Linked DNA regions of Arabidopsis thaliana. The protein of the gene in region 1 purifies or fractionates together with the protein of each later gene. This does not show direct contact. Each region holds a gene or a part of one and is shown in the gene's direction. Other genes may lie near its edges.

What was found. Proteins that work in one complex are often made in the same cells at the same time.
Region 2: the proteins of PPC4 (region 1) and AT4G31490 fractionate together in Arabidopsis thaliana (co-fractionation; one large-scale study listed by BioGRID). This does not show direct contact.
Region 3: the proteins of PPC4 (region 1) and AT4G31480 fractionate together in Arabidopsis thaliana (co-fractionation; one large-scale study listed by BioGRID). This does not show direct contact.

The regions. Positions count from the first base shown.
Region 1 is NC_003070.9:25,822,183-25,829,828, reverse strand, and holds PPC4 (phosphoenolpyruvate carboxylase 4), read left to right. Parts: upstream 1-1,681; 5' UTR 1,682-1,724; coding exon 1,725-1,880; intron 1,881-2,035; coding exon 2,036-2,199; intron 2,200-2,310; coding exon 2,311-2,425; intron 2,426-2,543; coding exon 2,544-2,621; intron 2,622-2,706; coding exon 2,707-2,775; intron 2,776-2,854; coding exon 2,855-2,933; intron 2,934-3,010; coding exon 3,011-3,087; intron 3,088-3,178; coding exon 3,179-3,274; intron 3,275-3,502; coding exon 3,503-3,644; intron 3,645-3,750; coding exon 3,751-3,846; intron 3,847-3,923; coding exon 3,924-3,991; intron 3,992-4,096; coding exon 4,097-4,333; intron 4,334-4,431; coding exon 4,432-4,557; intron 4,558-4,639; coding exon 4,640-4,741; intron 4,742-4,816; coding exon 4,817-4,963; intron 4,964-5,063; coding exon 5,064-5,162; intron 5,163-5,242; coding exon 5,243-5,331; intron 5,332-5,451; coding exon 5,452-5,578; intron 5,579-5,652; coding exon 5,653-5,859; intron 5,860-6,062; and 3 more. Other genes in the region: NUDX1 (nudix hydrolase 1), read right to left, coding at 222-529, 604-739. UniProt on the Arabidopsis thaliana protein: Through the carboxylation of phosphoenolpyruvate (PEP) it forms oxaloacetate, a four-carbon dicarboxylic acid source for the tricarboxylic acid cycle.
Region 2 is NC_003075.7:15,266,856-15,273,730, forward strand, and holds AT4G31490 (Coatomer, beta subunit), read left to right. Parts: upstream 1-1,590; 5' UTR 1,591-1,784; exon of another isoform or gene 1,785-2,360; intron 2,361-2,593; 5' UTR 2,594-2,604; coding exon 2,605-4,650; intron 4,651-4,868; coding exon 4,869-5,378; intron 5,379-5,473; coding exon 5,474-5,559; intron 5,560-5,633; coding exon 5,634-5,838; 3' UTR 5,839-5,839; intron 5,840-5,952; 3' UTR 5,953-6,375; downstream 6,376-6,875. Other genes in the region: AT4G31480 (Coatomer, beta subunit), read left to right, coding at 1-72, 165-250, 325-529; CYP83B1 (cytochrome P450, family 83, subfamily B, polypeptide 1), read right to left, coding at 6,822-6,875. UniProt on the Arabidopsis thaliana protein: The coatomer is a cytosolic protein complex that binds to dilysine motifs and reversibly associates with Golgi non-clathrin-coated vesicles, which further mediate biosynthetic protein transport from the ER, via the Golgi up to the trans Golgi network.
Region 3 is NC_003075.7:15,261,165-15,268,391, forward strand, and holds AT4G31480 (Coatomer, beta subunit), read left to right. Parts: upstream 1-1,989; 5' UTR 1,990-2,911; coding exon 2,912-5,026; intron 5,027-5,253; coding exon 5,254-5,763; intron 5,764-5,855; coding exon 5,856-5,941; intron 5,942-6,015; coding exon 6,016-6,220; 3' UTR 6,221-6,221; intron 6,222-6,304; 3' UTR 6,305-6,727; downstream 6,728-7,227. Other genes in the region: AT4G31470 (CAP (Cysteine-rich secretory proteins, Antigen 5, and Pathogenesis-related 1 protein) superfamily protein), read right to left, coding at 582-1,139. UniProt on the Arabidopsis thaliana protein: The coatomer is a cytosolic protein complex that binds to dilysine motifs and reversibly associates with Golgi non-clathrin-coated vesicles, which further mediate biosynthetic protein transport from the ER, via the Golgi up to the trans Golgi network.

The DNA.
Region 1 (7,646 bases):
TAATAATCAAACATAGAGAAATAAAATCGATAGGACACATGATAAGTTTATTACTAATTAGGAAAACAGAAACCAAAAATACAATAAAAAAGAGTAAAAGAGAGGGGCATTCCGAGAATTGAACTCGGGACCTCTCGCACCCTAAGCGAGAATCATACCACTAGACCAAATGCCCAATTTGCAACATTCAATCCCAAATCAATCATTAACTCTTACATCTATTAGTCTCCACCACCATGAGTGAAAGGATTGAAACCACTTCCAAACAATTTCTCAAGTGGCCAAAACAAAGGCTTTGGTAGATTCTCCCAATCATACCAATCCCATCCTTCACACTTCTCTGGTTCCATATTCTTCGGTTCTTGACTTGGATCCACCAACACCGCACGTATCGAAACAGAGACGTAGTGTGATGGCGTTGGTGCTTCTTTGAAGACATTGTTTGTAACAGTCAAAAGCTTCATCTTTTCAATCTTTAGACCTGTTTCCTCCATTACTTCTCTCGCTGCACATTCTTCAAAGCTCTCTCCTGATCAAAGAACAAAGATTAGATCAAATCAAGATTTGGGTGATATAAAGAGAGAAGAGAGAGAGGAGAGAGACCGAATTCGAGGTGGCCACCGGGAAGAGCGAAAGTGGAGTTGCCGATTGAGGAACGGCGGCGACCTAATAAGATTGAGTTTCCGTTGAGAATGAAAACGACGACGGCGACTCTTGGTATCGCTTCTCCTGTCGACATTATTATCGAACACAGTGAAACCCTTTCTTGTCGTGTTTTAGTTTTGTTGACTTAATTTGAGTTTAAAACGATGTCGTATCGGTTATGCGTTTATATACGTGTTGGCAAATGTGTCGCCGTGTCGGTGTGATTGGCTGTACACAATTATCGCTGTTTCTTTTTCCATTGCACTTGTTTTCATTTTATTTATTAAAAAATTTAGATGATATTATATAATATATGTTCTTTATGATGTTGCCATAACGAGAACGATTATGTAAAAAATAACATATACATATACTTTTCTGTTTATAAATGATTATTTTTTTAGAAAAAATTTATTTCTAAAATATTGATTTTTTTAAGTTTTTTATGCAATATTTATTGGTTAGTATTGATGAATTGTAATTAAAAAAAAAAAATTAATTATCATTGTTTTTTGAGTTATAGAAAACTGTAAAACATAAAAAATAATGTATTTATAATCAACATTTATTATGTTTTCTTAAAAAATAGAAGGAGTAGTCATTTGTTAGATAGTAAGACTTAGCCAAATTATATGTCATTTACTGTACTTTAGTTTTTTTTTCCGATCATAAGAATGTATGTTAAAATAACAATCACCAAAGAGGCACAAAATAAATTGTAGGTCCAAAGATAAAACAGAGTTAGTTAAAACCAGTTACTCCTTTCGTAGAATTTTTACCCAAAAAAAGAAAAAAAAAAATCGTAGAATTTCCTTCTCTTTTCTTCTTAATTATAATATATCAACTGTTTGTTTTGTTGTTTAGTTTGGAAAGGAAGAAAATTAGCTTAAGAAATAAGAATATATTTTTTTGGGGAAAGATGACTAGCACCACAAATTTAACTACGCCATAATTTACTGCGTTGACCACCATAATTAGTAATTAAGCACCATAGCTAACAAACCATATATAATCACTCTTCAAAATATTTAACTTTGATCACTGCAATTATTCATTCCTTCACCTTGTTCATTGATACAATGACGGACACAACAGACGATATCGCAGAGGAAATCTCATTCCAAAGCTTCGAAGATGACTGCAAATTGCTCGGTAGTCTCTTCCATGATGTGTTACAAAGGGAAGTTGGCAACCCATTCATGGAAAAAGTCGAACGCATTCGGATTCTTGCTCAGGTTTCATCTTCTGTCTATTCGCTTCCATATGCTTAGATCATTTGATAAGAATCTCACATCGTAGTAATAAGAGATATAGTCATATAGATCAATCAACTTATCGAAACAAATATGAATGATACGACTTATTTTTGTGTGGTTTTTAAATGTTTCAGAGTGCGTTAAATTTGCGTATGGCTGGTATTGAGGATACCGCAAACCTTTTGGAGAAGCAATTGACTAGTGAAATATCCAAAATGCCACTAGAAGAAGCCTTAACGTTGGCTCGTACATTCACTCATTCTCTTAACTTAATGGGCATTGCAGACACTCATCACAGGTCATGATTTTTGTAATCACATTACAACAAAAATATTACAAGTAATAAACATGAATAGATAATTCTAAACTTAAACATTGTGGATTCTAATAATAAACATTTTTATTCCAGAATGCACAAAGTCCATAACGTTACACAACTTGCAAGATCTTGTGATGATATATTCAGCCAGCTATTGCAAAGTGGAATCTCTCCAGACGAACTTTATAAAACTGTTTGCAAACAGGTCTAGCTACTTCATATTGTATCATTTTAGAAACATTTCAATTCGTTTTATCTAACACAAAGGTCGTATCTGAGTGTTGTTTTCTCTATTTGATATTTGTTTGTTTATCGCGCTTTAGGAGGTCGAAATTGTTCTTACTGCTCATCCTACCCAAATAAATCGAAGAACCTTGCAGTACAAGCATATTAGAATTGCTGTAAGTTAGTTCTAATGATGTTAACATATATGGATTATATCTCTTAATTTTACTTGAGAGAGTTAAAAGTATATGGTTCTTGCAGCATCTTCTAGAATATAACACTAGATCAGATCTAAGCGTTGAAGATCGCGAAACGCTCATTGAAGATTTGGTACACTCCATCTCAATATCTTCCATATAAATTTTATCAGCAGAGTAACTTATAAACTAAGAGTTACTTATACTTAAAGGTTAGAGAGATTACTTCACTGTGGCAAACTGATGAGCTTAGACGTCAGAAACCTACTCCAGTTGATGAAGCTAGAGCTGGTATTTTAAATATAATTGTAAAGTACAGAAAAGTTTCACTCTAAAAAACTATTTCTCTTTCTTTTTCATTCATTTAGGTCTAAACATAGTGGAGCAATCCCTTTGGAAAGCAGTACCACAATACCTGCGTCGTGTCAGCAATTCCTTGAAGAAGGTATTATTTTACCTTTAGGTATCTAGAATATATGAATAATCGTTATACTTTATCTTAAGATAATATTGATATTTTGTATTTTCTTGGTTAGTTTACAGGGAAGCCACTTCCACTAACATGCACTCCTATGAAATTTGGTTCTTGGATGGGAGGTGATAGAGATGGAAATCCAAATGTCACGGCAAAGGTTAGTCTTTTGATATTTTACGATTTGAACTCAAAACCAACCGGTAATGAAAATTAGTCCATGGTCGTTATTATATTACTCTAGGTCACATCTCACTTGTAATATGAGATTCTTAACATTTACTTTTTGATGAAGAAGATCTTTTAAAACTGCAATCAGAAAATTTGATTGTCACATATTCTCTTGATATATAACACACACTTGAATGTTGTGATATCATTTGTCCAGGTCACGAAAGAAGTATCTCTCTTGTCTAGATGGATGGCTATTGATTTGTACATAAGAGAGGTTGATAGCTTAAGATTTGAATTATCTACGGATCGATGCAGTGATAGGTTTTCAAGATTAGCTGATAAAATTCTTGAAAAGGGTAAATATATGCTTCAATTTCTATTAAATCTTTACTTGTTCATTTACATAAAAATTTTTTGTTCTGAATAAAGTTGATGTTTTTTCCCCTTAAAATTCTGAAAAAGATTATGATAGAGGAAAATCAAATTTCCAAAAGCAACAAAGTTCATCATGCTTGCCAACACAACTTCCAGCTAGAGCTCACCTTCCTGCTTGCATTGGTAAAAAGATTTCTTAATCTCTTGCATTTGGTAAATATCTCAAAACCATGCATGTTTTATATCACATCCCATTGCAGACTTTGGTGAATCACGACATACCAAATTTGAAATTGCGACGACAGATTATATGCCACCCAATCTCCAGGTAACACAAAGCCTTTAAATGTGCTGACATATAGATGAAACATATTTTACAGAAATTTCTCCATCCTCTTTTGATTAATTTTTCTTTTAATCTTTGTTTATATAGAAGCAGAATGAACAAGACTTTTCGGAAAGCGACTGGGAGAAAATTGACAATGGTTCGCGGTCCGGTCTTACTTCTCGAGGTTCTTTCTCATCTACTTCTCAACTTCTTCTCCAGAGAAAACTATTTGAGGAATCTCAGGTTGGGAAGACTAGTTTCCAAAAGCTACTAGAACCACCTCCACTTAAACGAGCTGGAAGTGCTCCTTATCGTATTGTTCTTGGAGAAGTAAAAGAAAAGGTAAAGATCATAAGCTTTTCAATCAAAGATAATATAAAGATTCAGATTTAGCATGTCAAAACCAACAGATTTTCAAATTTAATGATTTATGATCATAGCTTGTGAAGACAAGAAGACTTCTTGAACTTCTTATTGAGGGTCTTCCTTGTGAGTATGACCCTAAAAACTCCTATGAAACATCAGATCAGCTTCTTGAACCATTGCTCCTCTGTTACGAATCTCTGGTTAGCAATCTTGATTCCATGTGAAACTTGTGTTACCACAATAATCCATAATCATAAAATTTAACATCATTCGTTTTTGCAGCAATCATCGGGTGCTAGGGTACTAGCTGATGGACGACTTGCTGATCTGATTCGTAGAGTTTCTACCTTTGGAATGGTTTTGGTGAAACTCGACTTACGCCAGGTGATTTTAGTTTGTTTTCTTAAATCTTCATGCTTTGGTCCTCTAATTCAATAATATGTGTGATTCAATTACTAGGAAGCTGCAAGACATTCTGAAGCTTTGGATGCAATTACAACATACTTGGATATGGGTACTTATAGTGAATGGGATGAAGAGAAGAAATTAGAATTTTTGACAAGAGAACTAAAAGGGAAACGACCTCTTGTTCCTCAATGTATTAAGGTCATAATGAAATATCTATTGCGTAAACTACAAGAAAGAGCAATGTTATGTTATGAAAGTTGTTAAATTTTATTTATTTATCTGTATTTTATTTATGTAGGTTGGTCCTGACGTCAAAGAAGTATTGGACACATTCCGAGTCGCTGCTGAACTTGGAAGTGAATCACTTGGCGCTTACGTTATTTCTATGGCTTCAAATGTATAATTTTCTTATGCATGACGACTTTAAACATTTTCATTAAAACAAAACAATGACATAGATTTGTTTGTTACTTGCAGGCAAGTGATGTCCTCGCTGTGGAACTTCTTCAAAAAGATGCTCGACTTGCTTTAACTAGCGAACATGGAAAACCATGTCCTGGTGGAACGTGAGTTCAAATCTCCACCAAGATATTACATTGTTTATAGCAATCACTTTATAAGTACATACATGAGTAACATTTTTAGTAGTCTTAAGATCTCTTACTACTATCTATTTATTTGAATAGGCTACGAGTGGTACCTCTTTTTGAAACGGTGAATGATTTAAGAGCCGCTGGTCCTTCGATAAGGAAATTGCTCTCAATCGATTGGTATAGGGAACACATCCAAAAGAACCACAACGGTCACCAAGAGGTACGTTACACGTGAATTTAAACATGTTAATTTTGAAGGGAGGTTCTAAGAACTTGTAACAATGTTACTTGTAGGTGATGGTTGGATACTCTGATTCTGGAAAAGATGCTGGACGTTTTACTGCAGCATGGGAACTCTACAAAGCTCAAGAAAATGTTGTTGCTGCTTGTAATGAATTTGGAATCAAAATAACATTATTTCATGGACGAGGAGGAAGCATTGGTCGTGGTGGTGGTCCAACCTATCTCGCTATTCAGTCCCAACCACCAGGCTCTGTAATGGTCAGTTTCCAAACTATTATTTATTGATCATTTAAAAACATATTTAATGATTGTATTATTTGTTTTGTTACTAATGTCAATACGGGGTTAAAAATATATATATATATATATATATATATATATATATATATATATACATTTTTGGTGCCATGGCACTAGACCAATGAGCTATTACGCTAAAATGATTGAACTGGTTTGACCAGGGCTCTTTGCGTTCAACTGAGCAAGGTGAGATGGTTCAAGCTAAGTTTGGGATACCACAAACGGCTGTTAGGCAACTAGAGGTATACACAACCGCGGTTCTACTCGCTACCTTAAAGCCTCCTCAGCCACCTCGAGAGGAAAAATGGCGAAACCTAATGGAAGAAATCTCTGGAATCAGTTGCCAACACTATAGAAGCACAGTGTATGAAAACCCAGAGTTTCTATCTTATTTTCATGAGGCAACACCGCAAGCAGAACTTGGTTTCCTCAATATAGGAAGCCGACCAACACGAAGAAAGAGCTCTAGTGGAATAGGACATCTCCGAGCTATCCCTTGGGTCTTTGCTTGGACTCAAACAAGGTTTGTTCTTCCAGCTTGGCTTGGTGTAGGGGCTGGTTTAAAGGGAGTTTCTGAGAAGGGTCATGCGGATGATCTTAAAGAGATGTACAAAGAATGGCCATTTTTTCAGTCCACCCTTGAACTTATAGAGATGGTGTTAGCTAAAGCAGACATTCCAATGACCAAACACTACGACGAACAACTTGTGTCTGAGAAAAGAAGAGGACTTGGCACTGAGCTAAGAAAAGAACTAATGACTACTGAGAAGTACGTTCTTGTGATAAGTGGTCACGAGAAACTCTTGCAGGACAATAAGAGCTTGAAGAAACTCATTGATAGTAGACTTCCGTATCTCAACGCAATGAACATGTTACAAGTTGAAATTCTTAAGAGGCTAAGACGTGATGAAGATAACAATAAGCTAAGAGATGCTTTGCTTATCACAATCAATGGTATTGCTGCAGGAATGAGAAATACCGGTTAATACACTACCACAACACTTGCTTACGTGATTTAAAAGATACTATTACTTTTGCTGTTTTCTTGTTGGACAAGTATTGATGTCATTCTTTAGTACTAGTACTGGACCTCTAATCTGACATTGTGTTGCTGTTTGAGCTTGCACTTGTTGAACAACACGGCGTTCTTACAAATGAGAACGGCAAATAGTTTATAACTTCTCACTTGGCCAAGTCAAAAGTAAGAATATTTGTCTATCTTTTGGCACAAATGATTTTTTTAGGCTCCAATTATTAAATAATGGGTAAATTACAACCAAAGGAATTTTTTTTTGCAATTTCCATACATCCACATATTTTTATAATATAGATATCTAAATCACATCCTGTAACCATAAACATAAGGTACCTTTTCATGTTTAAAACACCAACTTGTGGTCCAAGGTTAATGGATCAAAATTTGTGTTTAAAGTAACTTTTAGTCTTCTATTATTTCTAGTTTCAATTGCTTTTTACTATTTGCTTTCTAAAAATACTATATGGTAGCCTTTTACATGTCTGAATTTAAAAGTTTTCATGACCCAAAGCATATTCCTTAAGAATATTATTTGATCGTGGGGTACATCGTTTTTTGTTTGTTTGTTAAGTGTTGTGCATCTTATGATTTTACAAAAGTTTATTTTCTCATACAAGTTTCCTAAAGACGTTTATTAGTCAACTGTCAAAAATAACCATATCAAAGACCTTATGTAATAAATCAAACTGCAAAATTGTTAATACCTACA
Region 2 (6,875 bases), on another chromosome or scaffold:
TATATCTCCCCTGCTGTGTGTTCAGAGGTTGCTTTCAGAACTATGTGGGCAGAGTTCGAATGGGAAAACAAGGTAATTTATTGAAACCTTTTATAGTTGTACCTTCTTTTCGTATGTTTGTTGGAGTTTGGTATAACCAATTCCTGTTGTATTCTTTATGTCAGGTTGCTGTGAACACCACAATACAAAACGAAAGAGAATTCCTCGACCACATTATCAAATCTACAAACATGAAATGTCTCACTGCTCCGTAAGTGTAAATTCTTCTTTCATCCTGTAGAAACGAAAAACTCTTCTTACTAATTAATACTTCTTTACTTGCAGATCCGCAATAGAAGGCGAATGTGGATTCCTTGCAGCAAACTTATACGCAAAAAGTGTATTTGGTGAGGATGCTCTTGTGAATGTGAGTATTGAGAAGCAAACGGATGGAGCATTGAGTGGTTACATAAGGATAAGGAGCAAGACGCAAGGGATTGCCCTAAGTCTTGGGGACAAAATCACCCTCAAACAAAAGGGTAGTAGCTGAGGTTAGCTAATCTTTTCAAAACATATTCTATTTCTCGATTAATACATGTTTTAATCCTTAAACCGCAATTGGTCTAAATTTCAGTACCATACCGATGATTTCTCACAGTGGCGTGCAAAGGTAACAGGTTTAGACTACGTACGTTTCTCTTGAGCAATTATCGTTGGTTGAATCTGCTTATTATATGGAGGGAGGAGGCGTTCAAGGGTATATGTAAAAAGAGTAATTGGCTATCGTTCTTACTTAACCGGTATATTTTCTGGTATGGTACCGATGGATTTCTTCATCTCATATGGCAGTGTGTTTTTTACTGTACTAGACGATTTTGTTTTATTTGTAATGCTTTTTCTTCTATAATGTCGTTTGTTGAGGACTTTAAACCGTGAACTTTATGATATTGTAGATTTCAAAGCTACATTTGGTTTGCTCCATTTTAGAACTCGTCATTTCAGATTTGATCTCTATTCTTTTCTTTCATATGCATTTGAAGTGAACTATTCAATTGTCAAAGCTAGACTTTAATTTGCTAGTAGCTATATAATACGGGTTATGTTAGCAAGTAAGTTGTAATGAAACGCATGTATTAATATGGACCATATTCAAAATCTACAAGCCAAAGAAACCAATTGCTTCACAACCAAACCCATAACATTTGATTCTTACAGCCTTTTCTATTCTCAAGAAAACCAAGCAATAATTTTTAAGCAAAATTTAATAATCTTAAATCACTTGCCTCAAGGTACCAAGGGACGATCACATACACATTCGCGTAACTAGATATCGCTAACATCATTAGACAAGAAAATACTAGACGCGAGTAGAAGAGGAAAGATCCAAATACATCATCTTCTATCATAAAATCATCCATCTCTAACCGAAAGTTGGAGCACGTTTCAAGGAAAAACTGACATAATTCCTAATTACGCTCACTTTTAAAAGTTTGGGGTCGTTTTGGAAACAATAAAAAAGTAGGGGCTATGCTTTCTCAACTTCTATTGGACTGGGCTTGTCAACAATCAATATTTGGGCCTGCGAGGTTGACTCGCTTCTTTCCGTTCTTCGTTTTCCAAACAGAAGGAAAAAAAACTAAAAAACAAAATCGGATTTGGAGGAGTAAACACAAGGGAAGACGAATCCACGATAATATTAAGGACATTTCATAATCTCTCACTTTGTGCGAGTGTTTTTTTTTCCGAGATCCAAAATCTTCTAACGGATCCAAAGCTTTGTTACTCCGTGGATCTCCTACCTTGAGGTTCGTCTCTATCTGTTAAACTTGCGACTCAGATTTCGTAGAGATCGATCCCACTTTTGCTTTTCCTTTGTGAAAATCTACAATGTTCAATATTCTCTGGCGTTCTTTGCTTGATCTCGTTGAATATTGATCCGATCCCGGTAGGCAAACGATTTTCATGTTTGTGCAGCTGAGTGAGACTGCGAACTATGTAGATTCCATTGTTTGTTCATCAAATCTGGGGAGATATATTGCATTTGTGATATGAACTTTGGTTGATCCGAAGCTTTTTTATTATTCGATTTTATGTTAATGTTTTGGTCGTAGTTGTAGTAAAAGTGATGTGTATTGCTGGATCTGAGGATTTGAATTTGTCAATGTCTTGCATCTTTGGGTCGTTGATTAGACATTACCGAATATTCTTCAGCGATTATGATGCTTTCTCATATACCGTGGATTTGAGAACATAGATGCTTTCTTCATTGTACTGAAATATATGTAGAGAGGTGTAGATTATTATTGCTGAGTAGTATTATGGGGATACTCTGAAACTTCTTGTTTAGAACTTACTCGAGCAGTGATGAAGATACTAGTAAGGTGCTTATACTAACTTAGTAATTAAAAGAAAATTCTTAAAATTTTGGATATATTGATTGTTACCTGTGATCTATACTACTTCATTTTATCTTTAAATCGATTTTCAGTATTTTAGGTTCCTATTCTCTATTCGCTTTGAATTTCTTATGTTAACATAGGTACACTTGTTCTTGCATGATTTTTCCTTTTCATATGAGCTCACAATTTTATTTTATTTTTCACTCTTTGTGCAGCACCTGAAAAGATGGACAAATCTAGTACCATGCTTGTTCACTATGACAAAGGGACTCCAGCAGTTGCTAATGAGATTAAAGAAGCTCTCGAAGGAAATGATGTTGAAGCTAAAGTTGATGCCATGAAGAAGGCAATTATGCTTTTGCTGAATGGTGAAACCATTCCTCAGCTTTTCATTACCATTATAAGATATGTGCTGCCTTCTGAAGACCACACCATCCAAAAGCTTCTGTTGCTGTACCTGGAGCTGATTGAAAAGACAGATTCGAAGGGGAAGGTGTTGCCTGAAATGATTTTGATATGCCAGAATCTTCGTAATAACCTTCAGCATCCGAATGAGTACATCCGTGGAGTGACACTGAGGTTTCTCTGTCGGATGAAGGAGACTGAAATAGTGGAACCTTTGACTCCATCAGTGTTACAAAATCTGGAGCATCGCCATCCATTTGTTCGCAGGAATGCAATTCTGGCAATCATGTCGATATATAAACTTCCACATGGCGACCAACTCTTCGTGGATGCACCTGAAATGATCGAGAAAGTTCTATCAACAGAACAAGATCCTTCTGCCAAGAGAAATGCATTTCTAATGCTCTTTACCTGTGCCGAAGAACGTGCAGTGAATTATCTTCTGAGCAATGTTGACAAGGTTTCAGACTGGAATGAATCACTTCAGATGGTGGTGCTGGAGCTGATTCGAAGTGTGTGTAAGACTAAACCAGCGGAGAAGGGAAAATATATTAAAATTATTATTTCTCTGTTAAGTGCTACTTCTTCTGCAGTTATCTATGAATGTGCTGGGACACTTGTTTCTCTCTCATCTGCCCCTACTGCTATTCGAGCTGCTGCCAACACCTACTGCCAACTTCTTCTTTCTCAGAGTGACAACAATGTGAAGCTTATCTTGCTCGATCGGTTGTATGAGCTTAAGACATTGCACAGAGATATCATGGTTGAGCTGATAATCGATGTGCTCAGAGCACTCTCAAGCCCAAACCTTGATATCCGCAGGAAGACACTTGACATTGCCCTTGACTTGATTACCCATCATAATATTAATGAAGTCGTTCAAATGTTGAAGAAAGAAGTTGTGAAGACACAGAGTGGAGAACTTGAGAAGAATGGAGAGTACAGGCAAATGCTTATTCAAGCCATCCATGCTTGTGCAGTTAAGTTCCCCGAAGTTGCAAGCACAGTGGTCCATCTTCTGATGGATTTCCTGGGAGATAGCAACGTGGCTTCAGCTCTTGACGTGGTTGTTTTCGTTAGAGAGATAATAGAAACAAATCCCAAGTTGAGAGTTTCAATCATCACCAGGTTGTTGGACACGTTCTATCAGATCCGTGCAGGAAAGGTCTGCCCTTGTGCACTTTGGATCATTGGTGAGTATTGCCTATCACTTTCAGAAGTTGAGAGTGGCATTTCAACTATTACACAATGCCTTGGCGAATTACCATTTTACTCTGTTTCTGAGGAGTCTGAGCCAACTGAGACATCAAAGAAGATTCAGCCTACCTCTTCTGCCATGGTGTCCTCTAGAAAGCCAGTTATTCTTGCTGATGGAACTTATGCTACACAAAGCGCAGCCTCTGAAACCACATTCTCCTCGCCTACAGTTGTTCAAGGATCACTGACTTCTGGAAATTTGAGGGCACTCCTTCTAACTGGTGATTTTTTCCTCGGAGCTGTGGTTGCTTGCACGTTGACCAAACTTGTTCTTAGGTTGGAAGAGGTTCAGTCTTCCAAAACTGAAGTAAACAAGACAGTATCACAGGCTTTGCTAATCATGGTTTCTATTTTGCAACTTGGGCAATCTCCTGTTTCTCCACACCCTATTGATAATGATTCGTATGAGCGGATTATGTTGTGCATAAAATTGCTTTGCCATAGGAATGTTGAGATGAAAAAGATATGGTTGGAATCCTGCCGCCAGAGTTTTGTCAAGATGATTTCTGAAAAACAGCTTAGAGAGATGGAGGAACTGAAGGCAAAGACCCAAACAACTCATGCTCAACCGGATGATCTAATTGACTTCTTCCATCTAAAGAGTCGGAAGGTAATATTATTATTTTCTAAGCTTTCCCTCGCTTTATTGTGTGTTCTTTTCCTTATGATTTTCCTTCGCACTCTGTTTAGTTTTTATCTGCTTTCTCTTACAGTTCATATCCGATTTTTTCTCCATTTTTAAAGAAAGATGGCAAAAGTATATAATGGCATGTTATGTTTATTTCTTTTGGTCTGTAGATGAGCTTACTGATGATAAATTTCTTTCAGGGAATGAGTCAACTTGAGTTGGAAGACCAGGTACAAGATGACCTAAAGCGTGCAACTGGAGAATTCACCAAGGACGAGAACGATGCTAACAAACTTAACCGCATTCTTCAACTCACAGGATTCAGTGACCCAGTCTATGCTGAAGCATATGTAACGGTACACCATTATGATATTGCTCTTGAAGTTACAGTAATCAACCGAACCAAGGAAACCCTTCAGAACTTGTGCTTGGAGTTAGCAACCATGGGTGATCTCAAACTTGTTGAGCGTCCTCAGAACTATAGTCTGGCACCTGAAAGAAGCATGCAGATTAAAGCAAACATCAAGGTCTCGTCCACAGAGACAGGAGTCATATTCGGGAACATCGTCTATGAGACATCAAATGTAATGGAGCGCAATGTTGTGGTTCTTAACGACATACACATTGATATCATGGACTATATCTCCCCTGCTGTGTGCTCAGAGGTTGCTTTCAGAACTATGTGGGCAGAGTTTGAATGGGAAAACAAGGTAATTTACCGAAACCTTTTAAAAGTATTACCTTCTTTGTTTGTTTGTTTGTTAGATTTTGGTATAACCATTGCCTGTTGTATTATTCATGTCAGGTTGCTGTGAACACCACAATTCAAAACGAAAGAGAATTCCTCGACCACATTATCAAATCCACAAACATGAAATGTCTCACTGCTCCGTAAGTGTAAATTCTTCTTTCATCCTGTAGAAACGAAAAACTCGTCTTACTAATTAATACTTCTTTACTTGCAGATCTGCAATAGCAGGTGAATGTGGATTCCTTGCAGCAAACTTATATGCAAAAAGTGTGTTTGGTGAGGATGCTCTTGTGAATTTGAGTATTGAGAAGCAAACGGATGGAACATTGAGTGGTTACATAAGGATAAGGAGCAAGACGCAAGGGATTGCTCTAAGTCTTGGAGACAAAATCACCCTCAAACAAAAGGGTGGTAGCTGAGGTTAGCTAATCTTTTGGAAACATTTTCTATCTCTCAATGCAATCCATAAATGTTTGAATCCTTAAACTTTTAATTGGTCTAATTTTCATTACCATAACGATGATTTCTCACAGGCTTGGAATGATAGCGTGCAAGGTAAAAGGTAAAAGGTTTAGGCTACGTTTCTCTCTTGAGCAATTTTTCGTTGGTTGATTCTGTTTACTACATGGAGAGAAGAGTCGTTTAAAGGATATGTAAAGAGTAATTTGTTATTATTCTTCCTAAGCCGGTATATTTTCCGGTATGGTACCGATGGATTCTTCCTCAACCGGCTGTCTTTTTACAGTACTAGACGATTTTGTTTTATTTGTAATACTTTTTCTTCTATAATCTTGTTTATCGAGGAGACTGAACTGTTGAACGCGTTATCAATAGTAGATTTCAAAGTTACATGGGTTTGTTCCATTTTAGACTCGTCATTTCATATACGATCTCTACTTCTGTTTTTTTTTTTCTTGCCTTTCGTGGTTCTCTCTTTTCGCAGAACAAAAGTTTTTCTTTTCCTACTTTTCTTTCGTATGTGACGTAGGACAACATATTGGCAAGATGCTATCCAAAGTCAAGTCTTCCACTACTTATCATTGTCAACGAAACTTCCTCATGTATTCATATTATTGTTTTTAGCAACATGTTGGTTTCTTCGTCATAAATTCATATTATTGTTTGTTAGCGACATGTTTTTGTTTTCTAGTCATATATTCACATTATAGATGTTTACTAAGATAGCTTAAAATATTGTAAACCAGAGGGAATATTAAAGGGACCCGAATATTAAACATCGGACTACTTTCTTTTCTAGTCCAAAAACAAGAGCACTGATACATTTTTATTCGTTAAAATGAGAACATAGTACTCATTAAAACAAAAAGGGATATTGCAATGAAAAATAACCATTGGTCACGCCATATCTACCAGCAGAAACGTCCTAATGATATATATAGCATCAGATGTGTTTCGTTGGTGCAAGAACGAGGTGTTCTTTCTTGTGCATAGCGAG
Region 3 (7,227 bases), on another chromosome or scaffold:
ACTGACGATGGCACGAGTCGAGGTTTCGGCCGGCGATGAGAACCGGCGTCGATCTTAGCCATAGGGTTCAATTTCTGAGTTTTGAAGCGTTGGGCTTTTTTAATTCGTTGGCTCTTAGGCCCAAATTAATTCTCTCATTAATTTACGGTTCGGTTTTAATCGGTTCTAATTTGTCAATCCGGATAAAAAGTCAATAACATCTAACATAGACCAAACCATTATCCCAAAGAAAAAAAAAACATAGACCAAACCAAGTCAACATGAATTGAAATTTAAGAACCTCGGTCCTCCCAACTCAACCGAAACACAATCAAACCGGCCAAACATTGTTTTTTTTACGGCAACAAAGATATATCAAAACACAAATTGCAACACTAAAAATCATGTGTTTTATTGGTGCCTTATATAACAAATGAAACCTTACCCGAAAGGTTTAGCATATATGACATCCAGACAAGAGAAAACGTAATTCATCATTTTCGTTATCTAACATACAAGAATCAAAACAAGATTTCACATTAACAAAGATAAAGTGTACATAGTTGAGGAAAATAAAGGTAAAGATAAAGTGTAGACAATATTCAAAAGGGTGGTTGTCCAACAATGTTACCAGGAGGATCATAGTTACAAATAATAAATGTGTCACCGGTCTTGCAAAAACTGATTGCACACCCAATCCTCGAACTCTTCTTCCATACAAGTTGCGTGTAATGCAAACAATCCCCATTCGCCTTGCAGTGGGAAGTCCTCCGGTCATAGTATTTCATCTCCGAGGCCCATGCAGCCACCGCATCCCGTGGAGTCCAACCTTTTCCGCTTCCCCAGAAGAGATTCTCCCCGTAAGGTCCCCCGGAGTGGATAAGTTTGCAATCTCCACGGCGGGTTCTGGCCCACCGGCTCGCATAGAGGGCGAGGCTATTGCTCCATTTGAGAGGAGGGAGACGAAGCTTGGCTCGTAAGATGTTGTGTGGTCGGAGAAACTGCTGCTGAATGGTGTTGCGGGCTAGAGCTTTGTCTTGAGAAAAAATTAGTGTTGATGTTGTCGGTGTTCTGTTTGATGGGATTTGAAAAGAGAGAGAAGGAAGTGGAGTGCTGATAACTATGATAATGATGATGAATATCAGAGTTTTTTGTTCCATTGGGATGCTAAGTTAGATTTGTTTCTGAGCCTCTAGATCTAGCTAGTACGATCCTTACCATATATATATACACACACACACATAATTGTTTATGCTTTCATATTTGTACGTATATATCATCTAACGAATCTAAACACATGCTATGTTAATAATGCGCAATGACAAGTGCTAATCATTTCGGTGGAACATTGATTATTTGTAGGGAATGATTTTATTCAAACAAAGCATACATTATTGAGCTAATTAATAGATCATTATATATGAAGGAAGTTTTAATAGGATGTTTTCTTTTTTTCTTGTAAGAAGAGACTTTATCATAGCAACGAGAATATATCCCAAGCATAAAACATTATATACAAACTCATTCAAATGAAAACCTAAGTTAGATATTTAATTTGACCACTCTTAAAATACTTGTTTAGTTATAACATGTTTACTATGCAGATTTATGAGGCGTATCAGATGGTGTGCTAGAGAACGTGATACAAATTTGGATGCCTTGTTTTCAAGAAATCTTATACATTCCTTGGAGATCAATTTGTATTGTGAGGCTTATAGTCATTGAGCTTACCGTTGATTAACTAAATTTATATTATATAGAACATCAAATAGACGAAAAAAATCAATTTAGTTGACCACCGTTTGTTAGCTAGGTTATAAACTCTGACCCAAAGTGTCCTATGCTTTCAGTATTCAGTTTATTTTATAACGTGTGGGGTCGTTTTGGAAACAATTAAAACAATAGGGGCTATATTTTTCTCAAGTTCTGTTGGACTGGGCTTGTCGTTAATCAATATTTGGGCTTTTGAGGTTGACTCGCTTTTTTCCGTTCTTCGTTTTCCAAAATCAAACCCAAAAGGATTTGGAGGAGTTAATTCACCTGACGAATCCACCACCATAATATTAAGCACATTTGATCTCTCACTTCCTTGGTGCGAGTGTTTTGTTTTCCGAGATCCAAAATCTTCTCTTGGATCCAAAGCTGTGTTACTGTGGATCTCCTCCTCCTCTCTCCCTGGATCTCGTACCTTTGAGGTTTGTCTCTCTGTGTTAAACTTGCGACTCAGATTTCATAGAGATCGATCCCACTTTTGCCTTTTCCTTTGTGAAAATCTACAATGTTCAATTATTCTCTGGCGCTCTTTGTTTGATCTCGTTGAATATTGATCTGATTCCGGTAGGAAACCGATTTTCATGTTTGTGCAGCTGAGTGAGACTGCGAATTATGTAGATTTCATTGTTTGTTCATCTAATCTGGGGAGATAGATCGCATTTTTTTTTTTTTTGAATTTTGGTTGATCCGAAGCTGTTTTAACTGATTTTTCGTTTTTATGTTATTATTTTGGTCGTAGTTGTAGTACAGTGATGTGTATTGCTGGATCTGAGGATTTAGATTTGTCAATGTTTTGCATCTTTGGGTCTCTGATTGGACATTACCGAATATTCTTCTGAAATTATGATGTTTTCTCATAAACCACGGATTCGAGAATAGAGATCATGTATTCAATGTATTGAAATCCAAGCAGAGAGGTATGGATTATCGCCGATGATACTGTTGAACTTCTTGTATAGAACTTACTCTAGCACTGATGAGGACACTAGTAAGGTGCTTATATTCAGTAATTCGAACTTGAAATCGCCAGAAATATTAAAAGTTTTGATATCTTGTTTTTACTTGTGATCTATACTTCATTATGTCTTTAATCAATTGTAACAATTTTGCTCTATTCATCTTCTATTTCTTATATTAACAAAGGAACACTTGTTCGTGAATGGTTTTTCCTTTTCATTTGAGCTCACAGATTTTTTTCTCTTTCACTTTTTGTGCAGCACCGGAGAAGATGGACAAATCTAGTACCATGCTTGTTCACTATGACAAAGGGACTCCAGCAGTTGCTAATGAGATTAAAGAAGCTCTCGAAGGAAATGATGTTGAAGCTAAAGTTGATGCCATGAAGAAGGCAATTATGCTTTTGCTGAATGGTGAAACCATTCCTCAGCTTTTCATAACCATTATAAGATATGTGCTACCTTCTGAGGACCACACAATCCAAAAGCTTCTGTTGCTGTACCTGGAGCTGATTGAAAAGACTGATTCTAAGGGGAAGGTGTTACCTGAAATGATTTTGATATGCCAGAATCTTCGTAATAACCTTCAGCATCCTAATGAGTACATCCGTGGAGTGACACTGAGGTTTCTCTGCCGGATGAAGGAGACTGAAATTGTGGAGCCTTTAACTCCATCAGTGTTACAAAATCTGGAGCATCGCCATCCATTTGTTCGCAGGAATGCCATTCTGGCCATCATGTCGATATATAAGCTTCCACAAGGCGACCAACTCTTTGTGGATGCGCCTGAAATGATCGAGAAAGTTCTATCAACCGAACAAGATCCTTCTGCCAAGAGAAATGCATTTCTAATGCTCTTTACCTGTGCTGAAGAACGTGCAGTGAATTATCTTCTGAGCAATGTTGACAAGGTTTCAGACTGGAATGAATCACTTCAGATGGTGGTGCTGGAGTTGATTCGAAGTGTGTGTAAGACTAAACCAGCAGAGAAGGGGAAATATATTAAGATTATTATTTCTCTGTTAAGTGCTACTTCTTCTGCAGTTATCTATGAATGTGCTGGGACACTTGTTTCTCTCTCATCTGCCCCTACTGCGATTCGGGCTGCTGCCAACACCTACTGCCAACTTCTTCTTTCTCAGAGTGACAACAATGTGAAGCTTATTTTACTCGATCGGTTGTATGAGCTTAAGACATTGCACAGAGATATCATGGTTGAGTTGATAATAGATGTGCTCAGAGCACTCTCAAGCCCAAACCTTGATATCCGCAGGAAGACGCTTGACATTTCCCTTGACTTGATTACCCATCATAATATCAATGAGGTCGTTCAAATGTTGAAGAAAGAAGTTGTGAAGACACAGAGTGGAGAACTTGAGAAGAATGGGGAGTACAGACAAATGCTTATTCAAGCCATCCACGCTTGTGCAGTGAAGTTCCCCGAAGTTGCAAGCACAGTGGTCCACCTTCTGATGGACTTCTTGGGAGATAGCAATGTGGCTTCAGCTCTTGACGTGGTTGTTTTTGTTAGAGAGATAATAGAAACAAATCCCAAGTTAAGAGTTTCAATCATCACAAGGTTATTGGACACGTTCTATCAGATCCGAGCAGGAAAGGTCTGCCCTTGTGCCCTTTGGATAATTGGGGAGTATTGCCTATCACTTTCGGAAGTTGAGAGTGGCATTTCAACTATCACGCAATGCCTTGGCGAATTACCATTTTACTCTGTTTCTGAGGAGTCTGAGCCAACTGAGACATCAAAGAAGATTCAGCCTACCTCTTCTGCCATGGTGTCCTCTAGAAAGCCAGTGATTCTTGCTGATGGAACTTATGCTACCCAAAGCGCAGCCTCTGAAACCACATTCTCCTCACCTACAGTTGTTCAAGGATCACTGACTTCTGGAAATTTGAGAGCACTGCTACTAACTGGTGATTTTTTCCTCGGAGCAGTGGTTGCTTGCACGTTGACCAAACTTGTTCTTAGGTTAGAAGAGGTTCAGTCTTCTAAAACTGAAGTAAATAAGACAGTCACACAGGCTTTGTTGATCATGGTTTCTATGTTGCAACTTGGGCAATCTCCTGTTTCTCCACACCCTATTGATAATGATTCGTATGAGAGGATTGTGTTGTGCATAAAATTGCTTTGCCATAGGAATGATGAGATGAAAAAGATATGGTTAGAATCCTGCCGCCAGAGTTTTGTCAAGATGATTTCTGAAAAACAGCTTAGAGAGATGGAGGAACTGAAGGCGAAGACCCAAACAACGCATGCTCAACCTGATGATCTAATTGACTTCTTCCATCTAAAGAGTCGGAAGGTATTATTACTTCCTAAGCTTCCCTTTGCTTTATTGGGTTTTTTTTTCCATATGAGTTTTCCTTTTCAATCTGTTCAGTTCTGTTACGTTGGTGTCTACTTTTTCTTACAGTTCATATCCAATTTTTTTTTTCGCATTCTCAAAGAAAGTTCGAAAGTTGATAGTGGCATGTTATGTTTATTTATTTCGGTCAGTAGTTGAAATTACTGACGATAAGTTTCTTTCAGGGAATGAGTCAACTTGAGTTGGAAGACCAAGTACAAGATGACCTAAAGCGTGCAACTGGAGAATTCACCAAGGACGAGAACGATGCTAACAAACTTAACCGCATTCTTCAACTCACAGGATTCAGTGACCCAGTCTATGCTGAAGCATATGTGACGGTACACCATTATGATATTGCTCTTGAAGTTACAGTAATCAACCGAACCAAGGAAACCCTTCAGAACTTGTGCTTGGAGTTAGCAACCATGGGTGATCTCAAACTTGTTGAGCGTCCTCAGAACTACAGTCTGGCACCTGAAAGAAGCATGCAGATTAAAGCAAACATCAAGGTGTCGTCCACAGAGACGGGAGTCATATTCGGGAACATCGTCTATGAGACATCAAATGTAATGGAGCGAAACGTCGTTGTTCTTAATGACATACACATTGATATCATGGACTATATCTCCCCTGCTGTGTGTTCAGAGGTTGCTTTCAGAACTATGTGGGCAGAGTTCGAATGGGAAAACAAGGTAATTTATTGAAACCTTTTATAGTTGTACCTTCTTTTCGTATGTTTGTTGGAGTTTGGTATAACCAATTCCTGTTGTATTCTTTATGTCAGGTTGCTGTGAACACCACAATACAAAACGAAAGAGAATTCCTCGACCACATTATCAAATCTACAAACATGAAATGTCTCACTGCTCCGTAAGTGTAAATTCTTCTTTCATCCTGTAGAAACGAAAAACTCTTCTTACTAATTAATACTTCTTTACTTGCAGATCCGCAATAGAAGGCGAATGTGGATTCCTTGCAGCAAACTTATACGCAAAAAGTGTATTTGGTGAGGATGCTCTTGTGAATGTGAGTATTGAGAAGCAAACGGATGGAGCATTGAGTGGTTACATAAGGATAAGGAGCAAGACGCAAGGGATTGCCCTAAGTCTTGGGGACAAAATCACCCTCAAACAAAAGGGTAGTAGCTGAGGTTAGCTAATCTTTTCAAAACATATTCTATTTCTCGATTAATACATGTTTTAATCCTTAAACCGCAATTGGTCTAAATTTCAGTACCATACCGATGATTTCTCACAGTGGCGTGCAAAGGTAACAGGTTTAGACTACGTACGTTTCTCTTGAGCAATTATCGTTGGTTGAATCTGCTTATTATATGGAGGGAGGAGGCGTTCAAGGGTATATGTAAAAAGAGTAATTGGCTATCGTTCTTACTTAACCGGTATATTTTCTGGTATGGTACCGATGGATTTCTTCATCTCATATGGCAGTGTGTTTTTTACTGTACTAGACGATTTTGTTTTATTTGTAATGCTTTTTCTTCTATAATGTCGTTTGTTGAGGACTTTAAACCGTGAACTTTATGATATTGTAGATTTCAAAGCTACATTTGGTTTGCTCCATTTTAGAACTCGTCATTTCAGATTTGATCTCTATTCTTTTCTTTCATATGCATTTGAAGTGAACTATTCAATTGTCAAAGCTAGACTTTAATTTGCTAGTAGCTATATAATACGGGTTATGTTAGCAAGTAAGTTGTAATGAAACGCATGTATTAATATGGACCATATTCAAAATCTACAAGCCAAAGAAACCAATTGCTTCACAACCAAACCCATAACATTTGATTCTTACAGCCTTTTCTATTCTCAAGAAAACCAAGCAATAATTTTTAAGCAAAATTTAATAATCTTAAATCACTTGCCTCAAGGTACCAAGGGACGATCACATACACATTCGCGTAACTAGATATCGCTAACATCATTAGACAAGAAAATACTAGACGCGAGTAGAAGAGGAAAGATCCAAATACATCATCTTCTATCATAAAATCATCCATCTCTAACCGAAAGTTGGAGCACGTTTCAAGGAAAAACTGACATAATTCCTAATTACGCTCACTTTTAAAAGTTTGGGGTCGTTTTGGAAACAATAAAAAAGTAGGGGCTATGCTTTCTCAACTTCTATTGGACTGGGCT